4 linked regions of the Sus scrofa genome follow. The protein of the gene in region 2 purifies or fractionates together with the protein of the main gene of each other region. This does not show direct contact. Links are inferred from orthologs where the notes say so. Each region holds a gene or a part of one and is shown on either strand. Other genes may lie near its edges.

Region 1 (7,307 bases), on a different chromosome or scaffold from region 2:
TATTAGGAGATGAGACCTAATGCTAAGGTCATGAATGTAGAGCCTTCGTGAATGGGATTCGTGCCTTTATGAAAGAGACTCCAGAGAGCTCCCTTGCCCCTTTTACTGTGTGAGCATACAGTTGAAACAGGCAATCTACAACTTGGAAAAGAACCCTTATTGGAACATGCGCATGCTGGTGCCTTGATTTTGGCCTTTCCAGCCTAAAGAACTGTGAAAAATTTCTGACCTTTTATAAGCTACCCAGTCTGTGGTATTTTTTAACAGCCGCTCAAAGGGACAAAGACATTACCTTCTTCCATCATTTCCCACTGCTCTTAGATTACAAAACCCTGTATGCTCTGGTCTTTGCTGGCTCCCCTCCAGCCTCTATTTTTACCTCTCCCCTTGACTCACTACACTCCAACCATATTGGCCTTTCCCTCCACCCAACACATTAAGCTTTTTCCTTTTTTTTTTTTAAGGGCCGCACCCTTGGCATATGGGGCATATGAGGCTCCCAGGCTAGGCACTGGATCAGAGCTGTAGCCACTGGCTTACACCACAGCCACAGCAATGCTGGATCCTTAACCCACTGAGCTAGGCCAGGGATTGAACCTGCGTCCTCATGGATACTAATCAGACTCATTTCTGCAGAGCCACGATGGGAACGCCAGCTTTTTCCTTTCTTAGGGTTTTGCACTGTTTCCTCCACCTGGAAGACTTTCTTTGCCCCAATTTCAGACAGCCATTCAGGTCTTAACTCAAAAAGTGCACTCAGAAGAGGCCTTTCTCAACCAGTCAATCTAAAGTAGCCCCCAGCCACTCTGTCTCATATCAGCCAACCTTAAGTCTCTCTGTATAACACTCTTCTGCTATTTTTTATTTTTGGGTTTTTTTTTTTTTTGTCTTTTGAGGGCTGCACCGGTGGCACATGGAGGTTCCCAGGCTAGGGGTCTAATCGGAGCTGCAGCTGCCAGCCTACACCACAGCCACAGCCAGGCCAGATCCGAGCGAGTCTGCGTCTCACGTGTCTCAGGGCGACGCCAGATCCTTAGCGCACTTAGCGAAGCCAGAGGTCGAACCTGCAACCTCATGGTTCCTAGTCGGATTCATTTCCGCTGTGCCACAACAGGAACTCCAGCACTCATCTTTTAATATTTATTCTCTAATGTAAGCTCCGTAAGACGTTGTCTATCTTGTTCCCCCCATCTAGAATGGCCCATGTTACATGGTAGGTGTATGATGAAAATTTGTGGAAAGAATGAATGAAGAGCATCAGATACTTAATAATACAAGTCCAAACTAGGAACACTAATCATTTGCAAGAGATCAAAAAGAACAGGCTTTCCTAGCTTATCCCCTGAAAACTCAATTTACATTTTTTTGTGTTTCTTTTTTTGGCCTTGGCAGAGGCATGTGGAAGTTTCCCAGGCCAGGGATTGAACCCAAACCACAGCAGTGACCCAAGCCACTCGCTAAGCTCACAGGTGAACTCTTTGCTTTCCTTTTCTCTAGACATTCAACAATAAGTTACCCCAATAATGTTTCCACAATGAGGAAAAGAACAAAATTAAAAAAAACAACTTATACCAACTTCTGTGATATGGCAAAAATATTTATTAAAATAGTTTTTTTTCCCAAATATGAACTTTATTGGAAGGAGTCCTTCAAATTCACTCTTTCACCCTGCATAAACGAGATAACAAGTACTATATACAGAATATAAAGCAGTAATATTAAAAAAAAAAAATCCCTCCTCAGAATTAGTCCACATAGTAGCACAGTGAATGAAATGGGATTTTTCTGGAACTCAAAGAATTCAAAGTGACACCTTAGGTAATCTAAGAAACCAATTATATTCTTACAGTTTTCCTTTTGGTTCAAGATCAAAAGGGTTAGGTTATTATCACCTGTTTTAAGAGGTAGAATATATGCTTTCTGCTAGTCCATGACTTACTGGTCAGCCTGGTCTCAAGAGATTCCCACACTTCACCCATCTGCCTTTGTGATGGCCAGGAGATCTCTACGCCCCCAAGCAGCAAAGCTTCCTGCTGATCTCTACTTAAGATCCATGAACCGGATATCCATGATGAGAAGGAAGTTCTTAGGCAGGGGGCGGGGGGCTGGGGAGAGCACAGTAAACACTTGATGCTCCAGGTCCACACTGGTCACCACAATGAAGCCAGCCACACTGGTCTCAGAAAGGTTCTCCTCTGTGCCCTCGGCAGTGCTAACACTCAGGAGGTGGTGCACCATATCTCGGCCAGGAGTGACAGGGACCAGCTTGAGCTGATTGTCCTCCTGAGACATGCCCAAGGGCAAACAGGAGTCTGGGATGGTGGGTGCCCCGACTTTGTAGATTTTCACATCTGAAAATTTGACGTTAAAGGCGTGGGGATAGAAACAGCCCCGGAATCCGTAGAAATACTCACGGATTCGTTCATCCCTACATTCCCGCCGGAAGTCCTTGGAGCGCTCAACCACACCCCCTGATTTAGGGAGCAGCACAGTGCGTACGAAGTGAGGCAGGTCTCGTTTCAGCTCATTGTACAGTCGTTCTTGATCCAGGACCACAACGACATCCACCTCAAAAGCTGAGGCCGCATGCACCAGGGCCTGGTAACCAGAGCCCTTGACCCAGCCACAGGTGTTAATGACACAGCCACTCACAGAGGCCCTTCTGTTCACTTCACATCTTTGGTTGAACACATCTGCTAAGCGAGATGTAATCTGCAAAAGAAAGAAGCAAAGTGAGGAAAAAAAAACACCAAAAGAAACAAACCCAAGGCTATTTTATCTTTCTTTAGAACAAGTGGTATCAGGTATAAGAAAAATGACATTTTTCATGGCTGTGGTTTTGACCCCGTAACATGGATTTAATTTTTATTTTGCGTTGCTTCTTCTGTCTCCTCTGTTTCATGTCCGAAATGGAAATTTAATAAATTACTTAAGAATGGGTCCGCAGAAACGTTTAACAGTTTGAGATGGACTTATTTTCAAATTGTCTTTCCTAAAATCATGGAGCAATATACCAGCCGAGAGGGAGCAAAGAGTTTTAATTAGCAAACTTCTGCACAGTTTTCAACCCTGACAGCAGCCCTTCCCTCCACCCCACCTTGGCCCTGGCTCTGACCTTATTATAAAGCTTGATGTTGGTTCCAGGAGTGGTGGAACCAAAATGATACACCAAAGGAGCCTGGATGGAGAATCCCTCTTCAACATCTGCTGGCCGTTCAATGTAGAGGGCCCCCATGGTACCAGGGATGGACACAGAGCCCTGGCCTACATCCAGCTCCACGTAAGTGGGACGGCGGCCCAAGCGCACTGCATAGTTGAGCAGTAGACGGCACACTGTGGACTTGCCCACATCAGTGGGGCCCACTACCATCACCCGGGGACCTCGCTCTTCTTCCTTCTCTGCCTGCCTCCGCATCTGCTCCAAGGCAGTGTGAGTGTTGAGATAAAGCAACATAGGGGTGTCTTTGGAGACATAAGCCACCTCGGTGCGACCACTGAGCTGTAGCGAACAGCCATGCCAAGTGAAAACAGCCACCTTGGCACCAGCATCAAAGGTGAATTTCTTGTTTCGGGTCAGCTCTGTGCCAAAGATTTCTGCCATGCCAGCCAGCAGCTCCAGCTGAACTGACTGAGATGCCTCCACCTCAAAGCGAAGTTCTGTTTCTCGCTCGAGTTCAAATTTAGTTGTTGGCTTCTTGTCATCATTGGCCTCCTCTCCCATCTTTTCTGCGTAGTTGTTGTGCCTAGAACACAAATGTCAGATCTAAACATAAGTTAGGACTCAGTTCAAAATCCTTCACTGGCAGTTTCTCTTTACCCTGCTTTATTTTTCTCCTTATCTCTGATCACCATCCGCTTCACTATATATTTGTTTATTGTCTGTCTACCCTCACAAGAATGTAAGGGTTGGAACTCTAGTACCTAGGATGGGGCTAGACAACCCAAAGGCACCTCTATAAATACACCGAGGGAATAAATGACTCAGAAATAAAAAGAAAGCAGTCTCTACAGATTGACAGACTTGATTTCATCGCCTTCATCGCCCCCTTCACCACTCAACTGGGATATTCCAGAGTTGAAAAGGCAACAGATGGCCACTCCCTAAGCCTCTTAGTCAACAAGAAAGGCGTTAGTAATTCGATGTAAAGCAGAGAATATCGGTTTCCGGTTTCCGACTTAGAAAACAGAATTAAGGCCCTGCTCAGCAACTACTAGGTAGTGTCTTTAGAGAAATCAATCACCTCTTCCTCAGTTGTCAACTGGAGGCACTTCCCCTTCCACACACAAAGTTCTGGGGATTAACAGGGATTGCTGGAGGAGAAAAAAAGTTCGTGAACTAGAAAACGCCGAGGAAAAGCGAAGAATTATCTCTGATCCCAGACCGCAGCTCTAAATCCAGCGTTTGTCCTAGCCTCCCTAGACAGTGAAACCTGTCCACGCTCCAAGGAGGCGACGGTGCGTTCCTAAGCTTATTACCTTACCTGTACAGGCACGAACCCAACCTTGTAAATCAAAAAGCCCTCCTAGGCAGAAACTCAGACCAACTGCTAACCGCGCTCGCCTAGATCCACGCCGGAAACTTGGGCGTTTCCTTACTTGCGCAGTAGAGGAGATGTGGACGCGCGGTGCTCCCTGGGACATGTAGTCGTGCCAGAACCGCTGCGAGCGACCACCTGGCGCAGTCGCTGGGCCTTCTGGGACTTGTAGTTAAAGGATTGTTTTGATCGTGATGTCAGCGGTGGGCGGGGCGGCGGCCGCCGAAGTTCGCGTTTCCACGGGAGGGAAGGGGGTGGAGTGGCGGTTACGCCCCCGCGCGGGGCGGGGACTGGCGGAAGGGTCAATGGACACCAAAGCGCAGAGGATGCGGATGCTCACCGCTGTTCTCCGCTCAACTGCCCTCCGGGAAGGGGAAAGACGGAGGGAAGGGGACATTATTTAGGTCCCATGGTCGCCTGGAAGCGGGGAAATTAGGGAAACTCCATTTGGATACGAGAAAACCTAGGGGTAGAGAAAGTGGAGGAAAACAGCATAAACAGAGACCAACCCGGACCTGAACCGTCACCAATTAACTGATACAGTGCTTGGCCCCTAGGGGTCATTAAAAAAATGTTTTTTGAATAAAAGTGCAAGAATTCTTCCACTTACTCTGTAAGTCAGTCATTTCCCAACAACCTCTCATTTATTTTTGGCCCCACCCGTGGTGTGTGGAAATTTCTGGGCCAGGAATCAAATCCGCGGCACAGCAGTGACCAAAGCCGCTGCAGTGACAATGCCAGATCCTTAACCTGCTGCATTACAAGAAAATACCCACTCCTCTTATTGATCAAGGTGTTTTGTTGGGAACTCTGTTTCCCTCCCTAAATCCCTGGCAGTTATACAAGGTCAGTCATTTATCCAACAAACAACAGGTTGGGCAATGTCTGTACTCTTCTGATGAGCTTGGACTTGGAATCTTGTATTCTTTGCTATGCCGCTTGCTTACTGTGGGACTTTGGGCAAATCACGGGCTTAAACTTTCTAACACCTAGTTTCTTAATTGTAAAATATGGATAAAAACAATACCCAGCCAAAATTGTTTTATTTATCTTTTTGTCCTTTTAGGGCCGTACCAGTGGCATATGGAGGTTCCCAGGCTAGGGGTCTAATCAGAGCTACAGCTGCTGGCCTATACCACAGCCACAGCAACGCCAGATCCAAGCTGCGTCTGCCACCTACACCACAGCTCACGGCTGCGCTGCATCCTTAACCCACTAGGCAAGACCAGGGATCGAACCTACGACCTCACGATTCTTAGTCGGATTCATTTCCTCTGCATCAGGAGGGGAATTCCTTAGCTCTTAAGTTTTTATTAGAGGTTGAGGAGGGGGAGCTACAAAGATGCCATCCATTTGTAGTTTACATTTCACAAAACCCTTTCAGCTATCCTCTTTCACAGCCACCTGTCAAGTCAGCTCTACTCAATTTCAGGTGAGGGAGGAGACTAAGATAGATGAAGGGACTTGCCCAAGCTAGTTCTCAAACCCAAGACTTTGGAGTTTGAGTCCACTTATAATAATAGTGAACGCACAGTGCTAGATGTCACATAGTGTTCTGTGGGCTTTACAGGGGTAAATTTAATCCTCAAAGAATCCTGTGAGGTACAAACACACTGTGATTGTCAGCTCTGCTTACAGATGCATACTTTTTTTAGTCCAGTTTACCTGGTTAATCTGGGTGGAAAAGCCTGGGGAGATTTTCTGGATTGCCTTGTTTCCCACTGGCCCTACCTTAGCATTCACTTTTTTTTTTTTTTTTTTTTGGCCCCACCTCAGGCATGCAGAAGTTCTGAGGCCAGGAATTCGACCCTCGCCCCAGTAGAGACCCCAACTGTGGCAGTGACAACACCAAATCCTTAACCCACTGCACCACCAGGAAACTCCAGCATTCACTTTCAAGAGTGACACCTTCACTTCTCACAGTTCTTTCTTTGAGGGTTTGCTTTAATTGTTTAATTCATTCTCCATGCATGTTATTAGTTCTCCAATTAACTATTAGGTATTTCCTCATCTTTCATTGATTCTTCAGCAGTTCCGTTCTGGTCTTCCATTTGCAAATTTCCCTCCGAGTCAGCTCACCCTCTCCTGTTTCCTGCAGTCTTTCTCCTAAGATCTGTTTCTTTGCCTCCACGCTCTGCCTTGAGACTGTTTCTCCCAGTTTTCTGAAGGTCATCTTTATTTGGATATTGGGTAGCCATCTCAAGCTGAATTTAGGGAGAAGAAACCCCTCCCCTCCTTTAGACCACTCTCTGTTTTGCCTCTTAAACACAGAAATAGTCGGGGCACAACATTTAAACCATCTATGTTTCCCCTGCACTCTCTTTCCTCACTTTCAATCTTTCACTAAGCACCCCAGTCATCTCTGCCCCATCCCCAAATAAATACTGTCCTCACATGTCTTTTTTATTCTCCTTTCCAGCTTAACCCTTATTTTCTTCCTGAGTTAAATCACCTGTTATCTTTTTTGCTTCTAAACTTTCGATCCTTGCTCTCAACAACTACTCACTTTCTTTTTCCCACTTCCCACTATTTTCCTCGACGAATTCCTCCTCCACTTACATTCCCCCCCCCTTTTTTTTGTCTTTTCCAGGGCCACATCCAAGGCATATGGAAGTTCCCAGGCTAGGGGTCTAATCGGAGCCACAGCTGCCGGCCTATATCACAGCCACAGCAATGCCAGATCCAAGCCTCATCTGTGACTTACACCACAGCTCACGGCAACGCTAGATCCTTAACCCACTGAGCGAGGCCAGGAATCGAACCTGCAACCTC
Region 2 (6,712 bases):
GCACCCCAACGTCAGTTACACCCCTTCCTCTCACCCCTCTGGCCACTCTTCATTATCATCTAAGCAGTTTTAAAAAGGGCTTTGTTTATTGTGTTTTACCAAAGGTTAATTGCATTCACTATCTCTGTACATTATTTTAGCAAACATTTTTATTTTACAAGTTCAATGAAGCTAGATACAATCTTATCTAATACTGTACAATACTGTGTACTCTATACAACATGCCCACCAAAGAGTTCACTGAGAATTAAATAATTAAGACAATTCTTGTTCTTAAATGCTCCCTAGGATACAGAAATGCTCGGTAGGTAGTAAACAGAATTTCCTGCGACTGAGTAACTGACTGAAGTTCCTGGACAAGATGAGACACGTTATTGTTTTCTTCATTTAAGATAATGGAGCAGCAGGTCCTGCAATGTCCAGATCCACACCCGGCCTCTTCCAGGACAGGCTGGACGTGGGTAATGAGACAGGCATGTGCCCCAAAGTGCTCTGGAACTGCAGAGTGCTGGCCGGAGGTAAATCGTCACTGTTTTCAGGTGAAATCAGAGAGTAACAGAAGTTCCTTGCTGCTGAAGAGTTCTTTTGGGCTTGTCTAGTCCTGCCTCCTTGCAGGACGACGATGCCCAGAGGGGAGGGGTTGGGGTCAGCCAGCGCTGATCTGGGGACAGAATCTGCAGGCCTGGCCCCCGACTCTCTTCCCCATGCAAGTGTAACTTGCATTTATTTCTTTGCAGGACCATGTGAATAGCATAGATTCTTTTTTGTTGTTGTTTGCTGTGTTGTGCAGTGGCTTGATGTGGGATCTCAGACCAGGGACTGAACCAGGCTGCAGAGGTGAAAGTACTGAATCCTAACCACAAGACCACCAGGGAACTCCCCAATTTTAACTTTTAAAACACTAACACTTTCCTGTGGTGGAAGTGCCATGCCCTTGAAGACTTTTAAACTAGCGGGTGATTACAAAAGAAGGAGTCTTTACCTCACCCTGAACTTGGTTTATCATAGGAGACTCAGTAGGTATTTGCTCGTGAAATCAGACACCTGAGGCTGAGTTGTTAAAGTTCGTCTTGGTCGCCCCTCTCTCGTGAAGAAACCCAACGGCTTAGAATCACCTCCTGTAACCAATCAAAATAAAAAGGCAGCTGAACTTCAAAACTAGCAACGAAGGAATGTGCAGGCATAAGGCTTCCCCTTAACACTCACAAAATACTGTCTGTCTGCACAAGGATGACACCTGCTCCCGTTCCTGTCACCAAACATCTGGAGAAATGTGGACCAGCAAACCTTATGTGGGAACACTGGCCACAGTTACCCCCTAAAGATGTGAAAAGCCACTCCTGCTGCAGCTGTAGTTTTCTGGTAGCGCATTTCAGGAAGAGAACGCCAGTGCCAAGCCAGTGTTTAACTCAGAACTAGGTCCAAGCTGGCTGGGAGAGTGGTTTCAGCAGAGTGGTGGGTGGGGACAAAAACCAGAGGACACTGCAGGACAAGGAGTGGCAGGAATTAGGGGGAGGGAGGCCGGGCGCATCGGGAAAGGGCCTGAGAGGGCTCTCGCCACGGCCAGACGGTTTCCTGTCTTGTCTCGGGACCACGTGTTTCAGAGGACACGTGATGGAAAGAGCTTTGGGATGACATGAATTTGTCTCTGAGTTCACCTACCTGAACTTTAATTTGTTTCATGCATTCTGGCGACTCCATTTCTCTGTCAGTCATGGTGGAGGGTTTAATCACATAGCACAGCATAAGTTCCTATTGAGACATGAAAAACAACCTCTGTATCCCAAAAAACAGAAATAAAAATGGGGTGAGTGTGCAGGAAATGGAGGCCATCTTCATCCCTCCGAGCCATGTGCTCTGGGAAACTCAGAGCATGCCTGTTTCCTCCTGGGAACATAACTGGGCCCACATTGCAGACTAAAGACCTGTCATTTAGTCATCATTGACATGGCAAGAGAATGCAAGTAGAGCACATAGACAGATTATTAACACAGCATTACAAATAGTAAATACAAGCAACAACTCCTATAATATGGGCATAAAAATCCCAGGGACATTTCTCTAGAACAAAACTACTTTTATAGGCTAAAGCCTAAGCAACTTAACCTGTCAGCAGGGAGCTGGCATCTGGTGCCCACTGGCCCTTCCTATTTCACTGGCCATCACACAGGGGGACAGAGAATTTGAGGAATTAATGAGCAACAACAAACACAGACTTTCATTCTTCACAGTCCTGGAATAAGGTGAAATTTCTTTCCTATTTTGATGGCAGTGGAACACAGAACACAAGCCAGAAGGTCACAAGGCTCTGGGTATGAACCCCAGCTCCACACATGAGCTGTGTGATCTTGGGTTGGTCACTCAGCATCTATGCCTCTGACTCCTCACCAAGCGGTGAGGAAGACCTACTTCCGGGGCCTCCCTGGCAGCTGGATGACTTTTCAGCTTCCAGCACACTTGGGACACAAAAATCCAACCCATTAAGCAACATGTGAACACCTAGGCTGATGCTGCGCTACCTTGGAGACGCTGACTGAAACTCTGCTCAAGGCAGCCAGGGACCTCCAGCTGAAAGGTCTTCGAAGAGTGCCCTCAAAACAGTCGTCAACCAACTCGATGATGACAGAGTAACTGGAAAACAAGTAGAGGGCATTTTAAAAATAAAAAGCATGGGAGTTCCCGTTGTGGTGCAGAGGAAACAAATCCTTCTAGGAACCATGAGGTTGCGGGTTCAATTCCTGGCCTCGCTCAGTGGGTTAAGGATCCGGCACTGCCGTGAGCTGTGGTATAGGTCGCAGACGCGGCTTGGACCTGGCGTTGCTGTGTCTCTGGTGTAGCTTGGCAGCTACAGCTCCGATTAGACCCTGAGCCTGGGATCCTCCATGTGCCGTGGGTGTGGCACTAAAAAGACAATAAATAAATAAATAAATAAATAAATAAAATAAATAAAAATAAAAAGCATGAAGTCAAACCATTTAAAAAGAAAGAACATTGTCTGTCCTACCAAGAATGAAAATACAGAAAATAAAACATACATCATCTGATCCTAAATTCCTAAACTATTACTGAGAAAAATATTAATCTAAAACTCACACTTGACATTACAAACTGTCAGCCTGATTGCAACACTTACAGGAAAGGAACAGAAATATTTCCCTCAACATGAAAGCTGTGAATTCACACAACTGTTTAGATACTAGTGCTCACTGATATTAAGATAAACAATTACTATATAGTAATAACTAAACAGATTAACTCAATGTTTAATACTGAAACATACATCATCATAATCTATTTATTATCTTGTAGATAGCAAAACAATATTAACATCTAAGGCACAGACAGAGTATCTATTCCTACCAGGCCAGGAGGAACCTGACTCTAATTGTGTGCTTCTGAGAATTAAATTGGAGCTCAGAAATTTCCTCCTGTCCCTTTAAGCCATTAACTTATTTAAAAACCACTCCAGGAGTACCCATCATGGTTCAGCAGTAACAAATCCAATTAGTATCCATGAGGACTCAGGTTTGATCCCTGGCCTTGCTCAGTGGGTTAATGATCTGGCGTTGCCCTGAGTTGTGGTGTGGGTCGCAGACAGGGCTTGGATCTGGTGTTGCTGTGGCTGTGGCATAGGCCAGCAGCTACAGCTCTGATTAGATCCCTGGCCTGGGAACTTCCATATGTCATGGGTGTGGCCCTAAAAAGCCCCCCACCCCACCACCAAAAAAAAAATTCCAAACCTTGCATGGTAAAATGGAGGGCCTTTTCGGTACAACACTGCAAAGAAAAAAAAAAAAAACGCATAATCATTTGAAATCAAATTCTTCTTTTATTATTTATAAAGTGTTTTCTTCTCCAAAGGGACACAAACATCCAGTGCTCAGGATGTGGGTAATTTATAATATGCCTGGTGGTGTTTTTATAACCCAGACTGCCCCCTGCCACAGAACAAAAAGCAATTAACAGAGCAAATCTGTTGCGGAGACCCTAATACCCTCGTTCCACCCTCACTCCACAAATGAATCCCAAAATACAAGTGTTTTAATCCTCTCTTGTCTACACTCTCCAGAGTGAGAGCCTGAAATCGTGTCAAGTATGTGAAGCTGGTATAACATGGGCCAACACTGATTCATTTCAAATCTTTCAAATTGATGTGATTCAGTGTCTCAGCTCCTCCAGCTGGTACTGAAGGGTATTGGTGCTAGAGATGAGTGACACATGCCTACTTTAAAAAAATTCAATGTCAAATGGGGGGAAATATCACATAAGCACATAAGCCACTCAAAGATCCGTCTGCCTGTCTCATTCAGCCTGTGGAGGAAGAGCAGCTGCCTGGTGAGGAGCCTGGCTGGGGTCTTCTGTGGGTGTGGATGTGCAGGGGACCCTATGGAGGGGAGGGGCACAGAGCCTGCAGCAGGAATTGGGGACCTACCACCAAACTGGTCTCCCCTCTTTCTGGGCATGTGGAAGATGCCATCCCCGCCTCCCAGGCAGCCAGCATGCTGCGGGCACCTCCAAGCTGGCCTTAAACCTTGCCTGGCACCAAGCCCTTGCCTGTCCCTTTCTGGAGCTGTGTGAAGACTGTGGGGCCATGGGAAGAAGCCAGGCTCCTGCAGCCCCTCTGGGAATTGGTCCACCCACCATTCAGACACAGGCTTTGGATTCGACATGAACACAAGTTAACTTCTAGTGTTAAGCTCTTGAAATTTGGGGTTTATATCTAACTACAGCTACAGGAATGATCTTAACTAATATACAATTATACCTGTAAACTCTTGACTGTCCCCTGTGCAAAAACCAAGACTGAAAAGCTTGGTTTCCTTTGAGGAGCTGGTAGTTCATCACACTTCCCTTTGGTTCAGGCACTGTGAGGTCAGTAACCAGGTAGGATGTCATGGATGATAGAGTAACCCTTCACTGATGTTTTCCATGTCACATTTTCTTTTTTTGGGGTTGTGCCCGTGGCCATGTGAAAATTCTTGGGCCAGGGATTGAACCCACACCACAGACAATGACAGCAGCTCCTTAACCTGCTGGGCCATTAGGGAGCTCTGCATTTCGTTTTTATTAATGGATTTCTAATTGCACTTAAAGTATTTGACAAGTCAGCTCAAATTCACTGTGTAAGGGCACACATTAAACACATGAGTAACAGCTTTTGGGGCTGTGGTGCAGAGGAATGAGACCACATACCAGGATGAAACTGAGTTCAAAGGCCCTGCTTCGGTCTCGTCTCTGTCACTCCTAGTTGTGGCTCAGTCTCCAAAATTATAAAATGCATGAGGGGAAATTAATATCTTTTCTATCCCTCACAAGCCATGATCTATGATCAGTTACACATCCATCAGCTAATATGCACCTGGGACATGCACAGCCTGAAATCAGCTCCAACCCCCAATTTGGACCCTCAGACAACTGACCACGAATGGAAAGGTGGCTCAGGGGCTAAAAGCATGAACAAGGATATCTGTCAGACCCTAGTTCAAGGCTCAGCAGTGCCAAGACCACATGATGACGCCCTGGCTTTCGATCGCCTTATGGAAAACAGGAGTAATAATGCAGATAGAGGTGCTCAAAAAGTTACGGATAATAGTGATTACAATGATGGCACCGTATTCGGAGAGAAAAATGAAATAGTTTTACAAAAATGCCTCCCCAAGTAGAAAGACAAAAGCTTCAGAAGTCTAAGAAGTAGTGGGTGCTTGGAGTTTCTTGGTCGCTCAGTGGGATAAGGATCTGGCGTTGTCACTGTTGTGGTATGGGTTTGATCCCTGGCCCAGGAACTTCAGCATGCACTGGGCAAGGCCAAAGGAAAACAAAAACAAAAAACCCAATAAAGAATAGCAACAAGTATAAAGTCTGAAAGAAGAGGGTGAAGGGGAAAGGTGCTTTCTTACAAAACGCCAGACGTGACGTGCTGAAGGAATGACAGAGCCAGAAAATGGTGATCAGCGCAGTAGTAAGTTTAGGCAACTGCTCTAATTACTGGGGCACCAGATGCTCAGCCTCACTCTACATACAAGTTGTGAACTACAAAGGGTAAACCAAAATTTTATGACAGACATCTGACAACAACTGCCTCAGCCCAAGGGTCAAACAGCATCACCAGCAGCAGGACAATGGGACACGTACCCCTGGCTATGGCCCCATAAGCACACATTGCTGTAGGTGCTGAACAATGGTGAGCCTCCGTCTGATCATGAGGAAGCAGTTGGACACAACCCCCAAACTGGGACACCCCACAGGATTCTTCGAGGTCAATGTCACAGAAACACACAAAGGAGAGGGACTCTTTCATTAAAAGATCAGACTGAAGTGGTGAAATGGTGGCCGCCCAAACACATCCACGTCCCAACCTGGAACCTGTGATTGTGACCTTACTTGGGGAAAGGATCTCTGCAGGGCGTGGATGATGCAGCCACAGCCAAGGAACACCTGGCACCGGGGAGCTGGAAGAGGGAGGATGGGGTAGGGGTATGGGTGGGAAGGGTGTGTCAGGATCTGCCCAATCCTTGCTTCTGACCTCTGGCCTCTAGACCCCAGTTTGTAATAAGCACTCCTGGCCTCCCTAGGAAACTATAAGAGTGATAAATGCACTAAATGTGATCAATGAACCTGAATGGAGCCGGACAAAAATAAATCAAAACCAAAACAACCATACAAGACATTGTGGGGACAAGTGGGGACATTGAAATATGGACTAGATATTTAG
Region 3 (7,484 bases), on a different chromosome or scaffold from region 2:
CCAGCCCCTCCCCCTTGGAGGATTCAGGAATCCGCTCCCCTGGTTCCCAGTTGTAGAGGATCACGGAGTCCTATCCTCAGCTCCTCTTCCCTGAGAACACAGGAATCCCGACCTCCAGGTCCTTCCTCCCAGGATAAAGGAAGCCACTCCCAGAAGTTCTCTTTTGAGAACCCGGGGTCCCAGTCCTCTTCTCCTTTGAGAACCCACAAATTCAAATCTTCCATTCCTCTCCAGCTTCGAGGATCCAGGAACAGAGTCCCTCTCTTATTCCCCCTCCCCCAGTGAGAACCCAGCTCTCCAGACCTCCAGCCCTTCCTTCTTCGAGGCAGGCCTCCAGCCTCCACCTCTTTCGGAGGTTGGGTTCCTTCTCTCATCTAAAGCCCCGAGAGCGCGCCCCGCTCCCTAGCCCCAACCCCGCGCCGGCTGCGTGCACCAAGCGCGTGTCAGATGGGCCCAGGCAAAGCCACAGGCGGTTACGCCACTCCAGAGCTCCTCCGCGCTCCAGGCACCGCCCCCGCAGCCCATCGACCCACCGATCCGCAGCGAACCCACGCACTGTCCAGACCCCTCCCGGTCTCCGGGGCGCCTCTACACCCCAGCTCACCTGGGCCCGCGACTCCACGCCGCCAGCAGGGGAGGAGGCGGCCAAGCAGTCCCAGCGCGCGGGCCCGGCGGGGCCAGCCACGCCTACCCCGCCCAGCACGCCTCCGCTACCCCCGCCTCTTTGGGGGCCGGTTCGGCTGCGCCGTGTCGGGCCGGGTGCGCAGCGCCGGGTAGGTTCCCGGCTGCGCAGAGAAGAAGCCTGGACTAAGAGCAGGCAGCAGGAGTCAGCTGCTGGACCAGGACTCTTGGTCAAGAGTCACTGGCACGCAAAAGGGCGGGGTTTCGGGCTCGGAAAGGGGAGGGGCCAGAAGCTTCCGCCTCTTAGGGACGCGACCAGACGTGAGAAGGAGGGCGGAGCCTGGAGCTCAGCGCTCGGAATGAGGCGGGGCCTCCACTTCAGGTTCCTCGGAGCAGAGATGGGAGGCGGCTTGGAGGCGGGGCCACAAGCCGAAAGTCTCTGTCCGGATGTGGGCGGGGCCAAAAGCTTCGCCGGATGTAGGCGGAGCCACCGCGTCGGTTTCCTTCGGAGGTAGTCGTGTGCAAGTGACAGTCCCACCCCAATCGGGTTGCTGATAGGCAAAGTCTCCTGTGTAGGAGGGAGGCCGAGCCACGGACTTGGCCAACAGGAAAGAGGCAGGGCTCAGAAGAACTCTGAGGGGGTGGAGCAAACAGCGCCCCTCGGTCTAAAGGGGGCGGGGCCTCGGGCAAAGGGGGCGGGGCCAGCGCACGGAGCCTCCCATTTCTAAGTCGCGGAACAGAATCGGTGGAGGGAGGTGGGCTTCGAGGGGCTGGCCGGAGGTGAGGCTCCGCTTTAGGGCAAGACGGGGCTACGGCCCTGTGGGGCGGGTCCCAGACTTCCCGCTCCGCTGAGGTGGCGGCGTGACGAAATCGACGCAGGGGGTCGACATGGGGGGTGGAGGAAGCAGCGCGTGGCGCGCGACGTAGGGGGTGGCACCGCCGGGACAGCGAGCTGGTGTTTACGAGGTGACTAGCTGGTTTTATCAGAGGACGGGGCCACATTCTGAAGGGAGCGCTCGCCAGTGGGGTGAGCCCGCCCGAGCGGAGAACGAACAGCATGTGCTCAGGGGACTGGGCCGCCGGCTGTGGGGTTCGATCGCGCGGCGGGAACTCCCTAAACTAGGGGAGCGCTGGCGGCCAGAGGGGGCCGGGCCTCAGGCTGTGGGATTGACGGGAGCCGAAGACACTCGAACGCAGTACCCCTTGGGTTCGGAGGGGCGGGGCTGCAGGTTCGGCTGAGCCGAGGACGGCCGAACACTCGGGCAGGGGCGGGGCTTCGTATTTGGAGAGCGCGACTCAGCGGGAAGAACCCGAGGCCGAACCTCGGGAGTTGGTTCGGAAAGAGGAGGGGCCAGGTCCCGAGCCACCGGAGGAGGGCGGGGCTTTGGCCTCCGAGGTCCCGGCACCTGACGGGAACACCCGAAGGGCGCTGCCGAGATGAACCTTTCGAAGAGGGCGTGGTCTGCGCTAGGGCAGGTTTTCCGTCGAGGCGCGGAGGCCGGGACAGCAGTACTAGCCCAGACCCGAGGGCTGACCGCTGGGTCCCTCGGACCCGGCGGCTCGGTCACGCCCGGGGCCTGGCGGGCTCGCCCGGGGTGGAGCCTGGTGCCCAGGGGGCGGGGCCCGCTCCGCAGGTGGCGAACGCGGCCCGAGCGAGGCTCCACCCCCTGAAACTCGAGGGAGGGGCTTTGTCCAGACCCACCACCCCCTCCCCGGGAGGTGGGAGCGCTGGGTGTCGAGAGCTTGCAGCTCTTGGCGTGACTACTGTGCCCCTGGCCTCCCGCAGGAGGATGCTGGTGGTGGAGGTGGCGAATGGCCGCTCCCTGGTGTGGGGGGCCGAGGCCGTGCAGGCGCTACGCGAACGCCTAGGAGTAGGGGGCCGCACGGTGGGCGCCCTGCCCCGCGGGCCCCGCCAAAACTCGCGCCTGGGCCTCCCGCTGCTGCTGATGCCTGAAGAGGCGCGGCTCCTGGCTGAGATCGGCGCAGTGACCCTGGTCAGCGCCCCGCGCCCGGATCCCCGCCAACACAGCCTGGTAAGGAGGCAGGCTGGGAGCGCGAACTCCCTGGGACCTGAGGAAGAAGCGGCTGGAGACTCGGACCACGAGTCCTTGAGCTGGGAGGGGTCTGGGAGTCCTGGATTCTGGAATACCGTGAGCCTATGACACCAGGTTCCCCGGGTTCCTGCCCTGAGGTTGACAGGGGCCAGGGAGTCAGGATTCCTAGCTACCAAAGGGAGAGCCTGCCTGGATCCCTGAGTTTATAGCTAAGTTTACTTCTCAGGCTTTGGCATCCTTCAAGCGCCAGCAAGAGCAGGGCTTCCAGGAGCAAAGTGCTCTGGCAGCTGAGGCCCGTGAGACTCGTCGTCAGGAGCTCCTAGAGAAGATTGCAGAGGGCCAGGCTGCGAAGAAGCAGAAGCTGGAACAGGAATCAGGGACCAGTGGAGGCCAGGATGCCCCTGGGCACCCAGCTGCTGAAGAGAATGAGGAGGCCAGTGCTAGCCAGACTGCTGGAGAACAGGAGGAAGCAGGTGAAGGTGGGAGTTGGCGTCCAGGGACCAGGGGGAGGAGGGAATTGGGGTTAGAGTCTGGGGCTGGGTCTCCCAGGGGCTCTTGGATTCACTGAACTCTCTTGGATTCACCCCCCCACCAGGCTCTTCCTCTCCCCAGCCGGGGCCTTCAAATGAGGTCACCCCTTTGCCCAGGTCTGCCCTGCTCGTCCAGCTGGCCACTGCTAGACCTCGGCCCATCAAGGCTAGGCCCCTGGACTGGCGTGTCCAGTCCAAAGACTGGCCCCATGCTGGCCGTCCTGCCCACGAGCTTCGCTACAGCATCTACAGAGACCTGTGGGAGCGGGGCTTCTTCCTCAGTGCTGCTGGCAAGTTTGGGGGAGACTTCCTGGTGTATCCTGGTGAGTTTGTGTTGGGCCCTCTGGTTGCTACTCTGTTCTTCACGAATCCCACTATGTTCTGCATTTTCCCTTTATTTGGTCTTATTTTCTCAGCGTCTGAAACTAGGGAAGGACAGGAAACACTTGGGAACCCAAGCTCATTCGGCGGGCGGTTTAGTACATGAGCAAAGGTGGGGGGACAAAGAATGGCTTGGAGAAATCATGGGTAGTAAGAAGTAAACCATATTTTATACTGTCAAACAGTTATACGCGCTATTTAAGTAGCCTTAAAAATTGTGGCTCTTAAAAAAAAAAATGTGGCTCTTGGAGTTCTTTTGTGGTGCAACAGATTAAGGATCCAGCAGTGTCACTCGCATTCTGCATGCTGAGGGTGTGGCCAAAAAAACCCCATGGCTTGGAGTTCCCGTTGTGGCGCAGTGGTTAAGGAATCCAATGAGGAACCATGAGGTTGCAGGTTCGGTCCCTGCCCTTGCTCAGTGGGTTAACGATCCGGCGTTGCCGTGAGCTGTGGTGTAGGTTGCAGACGCAGCTCAGATCCTACGTTGCTGTGGCTGTGGCGTAGGCTGGTGGCTACGGCTCCAATTAGACCCCTAGCCTGGGAACCTCCATATGCCGCGGGAGTGGCCCGAGAAATAGCAAAAAGACAAAAAAAAAAAAAAAAAGCCCCGTGGCTCTAGTAAGTCAACTATACTTCAATCAAATTTTTTTTTGTCGTTGTTCTTTTGTCTTTTTGAGGGCCGCACCCACGGCACATGGAGGGTCCCAGGCTAGGGGTCTAATGGGAGTTGTAGCCGCCGGCCTACACCAGAGCCACAGCAACGCAGGATCTGAGCCAAGTCTGCTACCTACACCACAGCTTGTGGCAACATTGGATCCTTAACCCACTGAGCGATGCCAGGGATCGAACCTGCAACCTCATGGTTCCTAGTCAGATTCATTTCTGCTGTGCCACGAAGGGAACTCCTACTTCAATAAAATTTTTGAGATTCAAAAAAAAAAAAAAAAAGGAGTTCCCAATGAAGTGCAATGGAATAGGAGGTGTCTCTGCAACACCAGAATGCAGGTTTGATCCCCAGCCCAGCACAGTGGATTAAAGAACCTGTGGTGTAGATTGCAACTGTGCCTCAGATGTGATCCCTAGCCTGGGAAGTCCGTATGCTGCAGGACTGCCAAAAAAAGAAAAAATAAATAAATAAATAAATTTTTTGGGAGTTCCCGTCGTGGCGCAGTGGTTAACGAATCCGACTAGGAACCATGAGGTTGCGGGTTCGGTCCCTGCCCTTGCTCAGTGGGTTAAGGATCCGGCGTTGCCGTGAGCTGTGGTGTAGGTTGCAGACGCGGCTTGGATCCCGCGTTGCTGTGGCTCTGGCGTAGGCCGGGGACTACAGCTCCGATTCGACCCCTAGCCTGGGAACCTCCATATGCCGCGGGAGCGGCCCAAAGAAATAGCAAAAAGACAAAAAAAAAAAAAAAAAAAAAAAAAATTTTTTTGAAAGAAAAAATATTGAGGCTCTAGTGAAAGAATATGAGAAAAACTTAAAGTGGAGTACTAAGTAGCTTGAGAGACTCCCATCAAGCAAATGGAAGACCACATGCGAGGTTTTACTGGAGCCCAGTGACAGTAATTAAGAGTTCTGGGAGGGAATTTGCATCAGGAATAGGTAAAGGAGACTTTTGATGAGTCAGTTAATGGTTAAATAGTAAGACTGCCTTGATTGTGTAACTAAAAGGTTAAAAAAAAAAAAAGTACAGGAGTTCCCCGGTGGCACAGCAGGTTAAGGATCCAGCATTGTCACTGCTGTGGCTCAGATTCCATCCCTGGCCCAGGAACTTCCAAATGCTGTAGGCACGGCTGAAAAAAAGAAAAAAGTACAGAATAATCACCCTTTTTGTTCCCCCTAAGAGCACAGAAACGGAACTGCCTGATAAATAATCAGATCTTAGCCATTCATTGGAGACTATCCATTAATTTTTCTGCAGGTGAGCTGAGAGCCTTGGTCTCTGCTCAGACTAAAATTTAACTGACTGACTTAGGAGGTGACAACATTCTACCCCACCGCATTCTCCATAGATAACCATGGTTTAATTACTTTGCTACTGGGTTGTCTTTTGTGTGTGTCTCTGACTCTTGCATGTAAAAATGATTATTTTGGTTTTCAAAGGGAATATTCAACTTCCTAAACATACAGATGCTAATATCTAGTTCTTTTCTAAACTTTCACCTTAATTTACAAAACTGAAGTTTTTCCAACCTAGCAGATTGTAAGGGAACCATTCATTCATATTTGATCCCATGTACAAGAGGAGTTAAGTAATTTCAAACATTCTAAGTTGCATTTAAAAATTTAATGTAGGGGAGTTCCCCTTGTGGCTCAGCAGAAACGAATCCAGTTAGTATCCATGAGGATACCAGTTCAATCCCTGGCCCTGCTCAGTGCGTTAAGGATCTGGCGTTGCCGTGAGCTATGGTGAGGTTTGTAGACACAGCTTGGATCTCGTGTTGCTGTGGCTGTGGTGCAGGCCAGCACCTGTAACTCCAGTTCATCCCCTATCCTGGAAACTTCCATATGCCATGGGTGCAGCCCTAAAGAGACAAAATAATAATAATAATAATAAAAACAAAAAAATTTAATGTAGGAGTTGCCTTTGTGGTTCAGTGGAAACCAACCTGACTAGTATCTGTGAGGATTCAGGTCTGATCCCTTGTCTCACTCAATGGGTTAAGAATCTTGCTTCAGCTCCAACTCAACCCTTAGCTGGGAACTTCCATATGCCATAGGTGTGGCCCAAAAAAACAGAACAAAACAAAACAAATTAATGTATTTTCCCCTTTTTTTTTGGCTGAGCCTGTGGCATGTGGAAGTTCCTGGTCCTGGGCCAGCAGTCCGAGCTGCTGCAGTGACAATGCCGGATCCTTAACCTGCTGTGCCTCAAAGGAACTCCTATTTTCCTTTCTAAGTTCTGCAGTTTTCTGGTTATGGATCTTGCTAATATTAAATCAATAAGTTATAAGTGAGGTGATCTTAAAATTTATATTGTTGGAGTTCCCACAGTGGCGCCAAGGTATCGGCAGCGTCTTAGGAGAGCTGGGATGCAGGTTCAATTCTGGTCCCAACAGAGTAGGTTAAGGATCCAGCCTTGCCACAGCTGCAGCTTGGGTGGCAACTATGGTTTGAATCTTATCCCTGGCCCGAGTCCCTGGCCCGAGAACTCCATATGTCTCGGGGTGGCCAAAAAATAAAAAAATAAAATAAAGTTTATATTCTTACACTGTTAATAGACTTACTAAATCTTCAGATTAAGGCAAATTTAAATCACTCAGTTGCACATTAGAAACAAACACAAGGCTGACCTGTTGGTTCTAATCGGTCAACATTTCAAAACAAGAAATACTCAGTGTCTCATGGGAGTTCCCGTCGGTTAACGAATCCGACTAGGAACCATGAGGTTGCGGGTTCAATCCCTGGCCTTGCTCAGTGGGTTAAGGATCCGGTGTTGCCGTGAGCTGTGGTGTAAGTTACAGACGCAGCTCGGATCCTGCGCTGCTGTGTCTCTGGCGTAGGCTGGTAGCTGCAGCTCCGATTGGACCCCTAGCCTGGGAACCTCCATATGCCGTGGGAGCGGCCCTAGAAAAGGCAAAAGGACAAAAAAAAAAAAAAAAAAAAGAAAGAAATACTCAATGTATCAGATAGACACAGAATCTCTGTCCCCTGAAGATGAATATTCAGGGACTGAGTCTCTTAAATATATGTTTCTAACTCTAATTATAAATTTTCCTGAGGTTAAAAGATGCTAAGTTTCTTTTTTTTTCTTTTTTCTTTTTTTTGTCTTTTTGTCTTTGTAGGGCCATACCTGCAGCCTGTGGAAGTTCCCAGGCCAGGGACTGAACCTGCACCACAGAGGTGACAGTGTTAGATCTTTAACCCACTGATCCACAGGGAGCCCCTGTTTTGTTT
Region 4 (7,421 bases), on a different chromosome or scaffold from region 2:
AACAGTTCTTAAACTAGACTCAACGATTTTGTTATAAAAATGGATAAATATGATTATATTCAGAGTAAAAATGGCTACTCATAAAAGATACCTGAAAGATAGAGTTTAAAGCTGAGAAATAACCAAAAGGATTATTATCAGGAATATATAAAGAGCTCCTAGAAGTCCATGAGAAAACTATAAATAATCCAATAGGCAAAGGATAAGAAAAGGATTTCTCAAAAGAGAAGATAATAAATATTCAAATAAATATTCAGAGAAATGCAAATTAAGACCACAATGAGAAAACCATTCAATTGGTAAAAATTTTAAAGTCTGACCTTACTAAATGTCAGAGACCCACACAGCTTCAAAAGGTCTTATTTACATCGCAGGGAAAGTAAACTGAGGCAACTGCTTTGGAAAAGAGTGGAAATCATTCCCTGAAAGTTGAACGTTAACAACACTCCGTCATGAGGGCAGTAGATGTGAAAACGGTGGTACAATCACAGGATGGAAGGCATCCCCGCTCCCAAAATATACCATAGATAAATTTTTGCAATATAACATTGTGGAAAGCAAGCCTCAAAAGATGCCATTTTATACAGTTAAAAAGATCTAAAATAAAACAATTCCCGATGAACATGAAAAATACACTTAGTGCTAAATAAATACTTGTTAAACACTCATACTTAACTTATTCCTCAAATAACCAACTATAATGGAAAAAATAAACATCATTAATAAAAAAACTTATTCCTCAAATAACCAAGAGCAAAGCAAGGATCCCCGTACCCCCAATTCCTCTGAAAATATATGACAACCTCTAATTTAACGATTCCTAGTGCTTTATTCAGAAAAGGAACTAACCTCTTAAACAAAGATCAAAATCACCTGCCTACCTGTTATGGCTGAGGGATGCATTGATGGGTGTAGGCACCACAGTCTGTACCCCTTCTCCTTCTATCTCAGTACCGAGAAGGCAGATGAGCTGGAGATCTGGTAATCCCACACAGTTCACTTCATGCCAACTTTTACCTGAAAGTGCATCATTAAATGGACAATCATGTTTATCAAAAATAAAAGATAAAAATTTTAAACACCTAATATCAGCTGAGCAAACATCACTTATAATGCCATCTTTTCTTTAGTATTTTCTTTCCCAGGAGTTCCCAATTAAAATGATAAAGAAATCACAACACTGACAAAGTTAACAGCAAATGCATAAAAACTACATCCCAACCCAAGCCCCCATCTCCCCCACCACAGCCCCAATAACAAAACAATAATAAAACAAATAACTTACTCTCCATGAGGTCCAGGTAAACCAAGAATGCTATATAAACTTGGGTGGCATCTCCTATATCTAATTCCATCATTTCTAAATACTGAAAATCAAAATATAATTGTCAAATAGAGAAGGAAGAATCTAAATATTTTCTTTCAATCAAAAATTATTCATTAAATATATAATGTACGAGACTCTTACAGGTATCCTGGGAGTTACAAGGCAATTAAGCCCTGATTTCTGTCTCTAAAAAACTTTTGTTAGGGTAAACATACACACAATTGCAAATAACAGTACAAGACAGTAAGTGATTAAAAACTGAGCCCATTGGGGCTCGGTGGTAATGAATCTGACTAGTATCCATGAGGATCCAGGTTCCATCCCTGGACCGGATCAGTGGGTTAAGGAGCCAGTGTTGCCATGAGCTGTAGTGTAGGTCGAAGATTCAAATCAGATCCCAAGGTGCTGTAGCTGTTGTGCAGGCCAGCAGCTATAGGTCCAATTTGACCCCTAGCTTAGGAACTTCCCTGCGACACAGGTGTGGCCCTGTGAAGTGAAAAAAAAGAAAAGAAAAAAGAAAAAGAAACCAACTGAGTGAGTGGGATTAAAAAAAAAAGACACAATAGGTCTAAGGAGCTCCAATTAGATGGCTTGGTTGGTGCATGCTTCCTGGCAGAAGTGGGATGCAAATTGGGCCCTGAAGGATGTAATATATGATTTGCGTAAATAGAGAACGTAGAATAAAAGTGTGAGCAACCACGTGAAGGCGGGAATAAGCATCACATATCTAAAGGCCTACAAAGAAACCTATCTGTAAGGAGTAGAAACTTTTTTTTTTGGCTACACCCGTGGCATGTGGAAATTCCTGAGCCAAGGATCAAACCCAGGCCAAAACAGTGACCCTAGCCACTGCGATGACCTGCTGTGCGAGAAGAGACAGTTTTTAAAAGGACTTTTACTGGAACACGTTAGTGGGAGCCTCTATTTTCCCTGGTCTCTTCTTAACCTGTGGAGGAAGTCTTCTAGGTCTCTCTCCCCACCCCTGCTCACTCAAGAGTGCGGAGTTATATAATTGTTGGATTTTAAAGAAAGGACCAAGCAAGCTGTGCTGATTTCAGTCTTGTTGGTTAGCAGGGGGCAAACATTCTTCAGGGGCCCGGCCCTGCAGGAGAAGCCTCAGGTATTCCAGCTGTGTCCGTTGACCAGGTGAGGAAGCAGGGCTAATGCAGAGGTGAGGCATCAACAGACCTGCCTAGGTGCAGCTCTGAGGCCATGCCTTCCCATCAGTGTGCTCCTAAGTGTGTTGGGAACAGGAAAGAGGGGCGTTATTAAACGTCCTCCTGAAACCTCAAATGTGTTTCAAAATGACACTGTAAAGGCAATTAGGGACCAAGTAGCCAAGCTAAAAGTTTGAATTTTATCCATGAGGAAATTCTTTAAGTATAGGAATAATCAAAAAAGTGTTTGAGGATGATAAAACTAATACTATGTTACTGGTTGGACCCAATTAATTTTCAAACTGAATAATACAAATGCAGAACTGAAAAAGCAGACATCCAATATCTTTTCTTCCCTTTTTTGTAATCAATTAGGTCCTTCAAGAAAAACCAAGAGAAAAGACTTAACAGCTAGAACCTATAGATATTAACTTTAAAGAGAAAAAAAATCCCCAAGTATGAAAACTAAACAATACCATCAAATCTAGATGAGGTTTTTAAAACTTGCTACTGATGTTTCACTTATAAATACTTATGTAGTGTTCACTATATGTCAAGTGTTTATTAATTTATTTAATCCCATAACCACTTCATAAGATTAGTACTGTTCCTATGCCCATTTTACAGATGAGAAAACTGAGGAACAAGATAAAACAACTAGCAAAAAAAAGTCATAAACCTGGAAGTTCCCTTCGTGGCTCAGCAGTTAACGATCCCGACTACTATCCATAAGAACAAGGCTTCAGTCCCTGGCCTCGCTCAGTGGGTTAGGGAACTGGTGTTGCCCTGAGCTGTGGTATAGGTTGCAGACGCTGCACGGATCTGAAGTGGCTGTGGCACAGGCCGGCAGCTACAGCTCCGATTAGAGCCCTAGCCTGGGAACCACCATATGCCACAGGTGCAGTCTTAAAAAGCAAAAAAAAAAAAAAAGAAAAAAAAAGTCACAAAGCTGGTGACAGAACCCAGGATTCAAACTCAGTGACTCTGAGTTCACGCTCCCTCTCCGTGTTGTGGTTCTTTTTCTGGCACCGAAAAACATCTCCATGTTAATGTTTTTCTCACCTTGAGGGGGAAATAAGAGGATCAGAATAGGAGGATAAAATCAAGAGAAGATGAAAAGGGATTAATTCGGGAGTTCCCGTCGAGGCTCAGTGGTTAACGAGTCTGACTAGGAACCATGAGGTTGCAGGTTCGATCCCTGGCCTCGCTCAGTGGGTTAAGGATCTGGTGTTGCTGTGGCTCTGGTGTTGCTGTGGCTCTGGCGTAGGCCGGTGGCTACAGCTTCAGTCGACCCCTGGCCTGGGAACCTCCATATGCCGTGGGAGAGGCCCTAGAAAAGGCAAAAAGACAAAAAAAAAAAAAAAAAAAAAAAGGAAAGAAAAGGGATTAATTTTTTTCAGACCTAGACCTTCAAGATTTTCCTCTTCTTCACTGTTTTTAGATGATTATCTATGAAATACTGCTCTCTAGCAGAAGACTGCAATCCTACTAAAGTTACGAGACCGAAGTATCTAGCGTCTACATTCCTACAAAACCCTTGTCTTCGATCACTTCCATTCATTGCTGTAAAAGGCAACTATATGCCAAGCAGAAGCAAACGAGGACTGTGCCTAAACCTTAAACACTGTAGACTCCCACATCTTTTCCATGGCCCACAAACTGTTTAGTTTGCTTACTGTGAGGAGTAAATGAGACCAGCCCGAGAAAGAGCCCAGAGCCCTAGAGAGCACAACTCAGATGTTAGTGGTGGACGGCGAGGAGGATGGATTTTAAAGTTTTGTCCCTCCAGCCTGGGGGGGGGGGGCGGTCAGAACAACAATTCAACGCTTTTAAACAAACGAAAACAATACCGCCTGCAGCGGGCAGCGTAAAGGGTCCCCTTCCGCGAGGTTCGGGTGGAAACTCAGCGATCCCACCCCCCAGGGAGTGAAGAGCCCCGAGGGGAGCGCGGCCCGGGGGTTCCCTCTGGGGTAGGGGCCTGGACCCGTGCCCTGCTCTCTCGCGCCTCCTGACCTTAGGGTGCGTGCCCATCCAGGCGTCCTCCGGGGCCCAAGAGGGGGCGCCGCCGCCGCGTTCGCCTCCCGGGCCCATAGCGCTAGAGCCGGCGGTGGGCTGGGACTCGCGGCGCTCCTCCATGCCCGGCCGTGCGGCGCGCGTGTGCACCGCGCTCGGCTCTCCGCGCCCGGCTGGAAGCAGGGACGCGCGCATCTGGGTTCCGCTTTCCCGTCGTGCGCTGCGTCGGCGCAGGAGGGCGCAGATGCTGCCGGGCGGGAGAAGCGGTCAGTCCCATCTTCAGAAACACGCAGCTAGAACCGGCGCGGACGCACTCTCCCTGCTCCCCTTTCGCGCGGTGCTTAGTCAAATCTGGGCAAATGCTGGCCGAAAGAAGGTTGAAGAATACCCCGAGGCCGGAAACCTTTAACTTACCTTCCGTCAGCGCTGTGTGCGCTCTTTTGAGAAAGCCAGGGATAGGGTCTCTTCGCCTTCTGCAGTGAGTCCAGATCTCCAGTTCCTGGGAACAGGAAGGCCTCATTCGGAGCCCTGACATGTAAGCTTAAAGTGTGGAAGTGGATGAGATCTCTAAAAGAAAATAAAAGGGAGAAAGACCAGACTGCCAAGAACCATATTTTTAGGGTGGACCCACCTTTCAGGATTAGAGGAGCAAGAGTAAACACGAGTTGTTGAATCTAAACAGGAGTGGTCAGAAAAGTAGGATGCAAACCAGCCTAAGCATGTGACGTGGAAGCCAAGGCTGAGGAGGAGTTTCAGACAGGCAGAACAGGACATTTTAAACTTTGTGGATTTACTGTCAGGAAATGGGGAGACCCTGCAAGTTTCTGTTTCTGTAGTATCCCTCTGCCTGAAATGTGAAGAAGAGTCCTTAAGGAGCAAGGGTATAAGCAGGGAGTGGTTTAGGAGGCTGTTGGATTAACCAAGGCAAGAAATGACTCTCAGGAGACAAAGTGCCAGGCAGGGATGGAAATTCTGCTTCCAAATATGACAGACTAAGACCCTACTGGACTATCCCTCAGCAGAAGACATCTATAAAATTGGGCATAGGCGTTCTCATTGTAGCTCATTGGTAACAAACCTGATTAGTATCCATGAGGATGCAGTTCGATCCCTGGCCTCGCTCAGTGGGTTAAGGATCCGGTGTTGCAGTGAGCTGTGGTGTAGGCCGGCAGATGCAGCTCTTATTCTACCCCTAGCCCGGTAGCTTCCTAGCGGGGAGGGCATAATACAAAAAGCAACTTCCAGAATATCCTGGAATGCTAACAGAAGCAGACCAAGCCTGGTGGCCAGGGCAGGTTGCTCAGAGAAGGGCAGATAAGGAACCACACAAGTAAGTTCCCCTTTCTTCTGCATTGAGCTTGGAGCTAAGAGCAGTCCATGAGACAGACTCCAAGGCAGAAGGGGCGCGTGTGGGAAAACTCTTAGTTTTTCTTACCTAGAGAATCCAAAAAGTGAAGCCAGGAACCTTTGAATGCTGAGGAGACTAGGAAATCTCCAAAGGGGCAGGAGCCTGAGAGAGGATCCCCTAACTCTGCACACATCTCTGACAGATCCTAAACCACCTGAAACAGAATCACTGTTTAAAACAAAAAATCTGAACTAAGGCTAGAGTTGGCCTCCAAGAAAGAGTTTATAGGTCAAATTTAGCCAGGAAAATTACCTGCTAATGCAAAGGAAGTAACTTTCATAGAAAAACTATAGAGTCTAGAACCTTGACAATTTAGCATTCATAAAGTCCAAGATACGATTCAAAACTACAGACATATGGAAATCAAGGAAAAGTATCACACTGTCTAGTCTGACTCTGAGATGAATCAGATGTTGAAACTGACAAGGATTTTAAAGTAGCTATTACAGCTTATCCTCAATGAAGTAAAACAAAGCATTTTTAAGTGAATGAAACTCTCAGGAGACTAAAAAATCTCAGCAGAAAAAAGAATCAAATGGAACTGAAAATTAAAATATCAGGAGTTCCCACTGTGGCTCAGCCGGTTAAGAACCCAACATAGTCTCTACGAGGATGCGGATTCAAGCCCTGGCCTCACTCGGTGGGTTAAGGATCTGGTATTACCACAAGCTGTGACATAGGTTGCAGATGCCCCTCTGATCCTGCCTTACTGTGGCTGTGCTGTAGTCCTGAGCTGTAGCCCTGATTAGACCCCTAGCCCAGGAACTTCAATATGCTACAGGTGAGGCCTGCAGAAGAGAAAAAAATTTACAAGTTCGTAAATAAAAAATCCACTGGATGGATTTCACGGCCGAATAGAAATTACTGAATAAAAATTAAGTGAATTTGAAGGTAGAGCAATTGTCCAAGAAATCATCCAAGGTAAACAACAAAGAGAAAAATGAATTAAAAAAAAATAAACAGAGCCTCAGAGACCTGCTACATGATATCAAACAATCCAACACACTTGTAAATGAAACACCAGAAAAAGAAAAGAAAGAGAATGGGGCAGAGAAAACACTGAGGAAAAAAAAAAATTCCCTAAATTTGATATAAGACAGAAATTTGCAAGTACAAAATGCCAAATGAATACTAAGTAAAATAAACACAATGAAATCCATGCTGAAGTTAAACTGTTAAAAGCCAGATACATAGCTTGAATGCATTAAAAAAAAAAAAAAAAAGAGAGAGAGTAAGGAAAGAAAAAAGCATTGCATTACATACAGGAAGAAGTGCATCCTATTATGTCATCTAAAACCACACATGGGATTCGTAAGTTGCCCTGGATTGTATTGCATTTGAATGTAGTCATTAACCTTTGCCTCTATGAAGCGGTTGCTAAGCTCTAAAGAGGCAAATGACACTGAAATTAGTATACTCCTTCAATCACTGAACACTGACACTAATTCAGGTAATTTGAGGTGAGTAAATCTTTCTCTCTCACCTCTACAGATCCCAATCCGTTCAGATGATGGTA

Evidence for each region.
Region 1: the proteins of TSEN2 (region 2) and CLP1 purify together in Homo sapiens (affinity purification with mass spectrometry; 3 studies listed by BioGRID and IntAct, counting the BioPlex papers as one, with this or other methods). This does not show direct contact. The link is inferred for Sus scrofa from reciprocal best matches to the Homo sapiens genes TSEN2 and CLP1.
Region 3: the proteins of TSEN2 (region 2) and TSEN34 purify together in Homo sapiens (affinity purification with mass spectrometry; 3 studies listed by BioGRID and IntAct, counting the BioPlex papers as one, with this or other methods). This does not show direct contact. The link is inferred for Sus scrofa from reciprocal best matches to the Homo sapiens genes TSEN2 and TSEN34.
Region 4: the proteins of TSEN2 (region 2) and TSEN15 purify together in Homo sapiens (affinity purification with mass spectrometry; 4 studies listed by BioGRID and IntAct, counting the BioPlex papers as one, with this or other methods). This does not show direct contact. The link is inferred for Sus scrofa from reciprocal best matches to the Homo sapiens genes TSEN2 and TSEN15.

What each region holds. Positions count from the first base shown.
Region 1 is NC_010444.4:13,280,581-13,287,887, forward strand, and holds CLP1 (polyribonucleotide 5'-hydroxyl-kinase Clp1), read right to left. Parts: upstream 4,629-7,307; 5' UTR 4,482-4,628; intron 4,312-4,481; exon of another isoform or gene 4,242-4,311; intron 3,764-4,241; exon of another isoform or gene 3,744-3,763; 5' UTR 3,722-3,743; coding exon 3,116-3,721; intron 2,713-3,115; coding exon 2,041-2,712; 3' UTR 1,577-2,040; downstream 1-1,576. UniProt on the Homo sapiens protein: Polynucleotide kinase that can phosphorylate the 5'-hydroxyl groups of double-stranded RNA (dsRNA), single-stranded RNA (ssRNA), double-stranded DNA (dsDNA) and double-stranded DNA:RNA hybrids. dsRNA is phosphorylated more efficiently than dsDNA, and the RNA component of a DNA:RNA hybrid is phosphorylated more efficiently than the DNA component.
Region 2 is NC_010455.5:68,514,079-68,520,790, reverse strand, and holds the end of TSEN2 (tRNA-splicing endonuclease subunit Sen2), read right to left. Parts: intron 3,778-6,712; coding exon 3,741-3,777; intron 2,632-3,740; coding exon 2,520-2,631; intron 1,753-2,519; coding exon 1,663-1,752; intron 1,119-1,662; coding exon 1,059-1,118; 3' UTR 65-1,058; downstream 1-64.
Region 3 is NC_010448.4:55,933,128-55,940,611, reverse strand, and holds the start of TSEN34 (tRNA-splicing endonuclease subunit Sen34), read left to right. Parts: upstream 1-1,659; 5' UTR 1,660-2,058; coding exon 2,059-2,093; intron 2,094-2,407; coding exon 2,408-2,654; intron 2,655-2,901; coding exon 2,902-3,154; intron 3,155-3,270; coding exon 3,271-3,528; intron 3,529-7,484. UniProt on the Homo sapiens protein: Constitutes one of the two catalytic subunit of the tRNA-splicing endonuclease complex, a complex responsible for identification and cleavage of the splice sites in pre-tRNA. It cleaves pre-tRNA at the 5'- and 3'-splice sites to release the intron.
Region 4 is NC_010451.4:125,298,402-125,305,822, reverse strand, and holds the start of TSEN15 (tRNA-splicing endonuclease subunit Sen15), read right to left. Parts: upstream 4,702-7,421; 5' UTR 4,693-4,701; coding exon 4,498-4,692; intron 1,814-4,497; exon of another isoform or gene 1,368-1,813; coding exon 1,286-1,367; intron 1,018-1,285; coding exon 882-1,017; intron 1-881. UniProt on the Homo sapiens protein: Non-catalytic subunit of the tRNA-splicing endonuclease complex, a complex responsible for identification and cleavage of the splice sites in pre-tRNA. It cleaves pre-tRNA at the 5' and 3' splice sites to release the intron.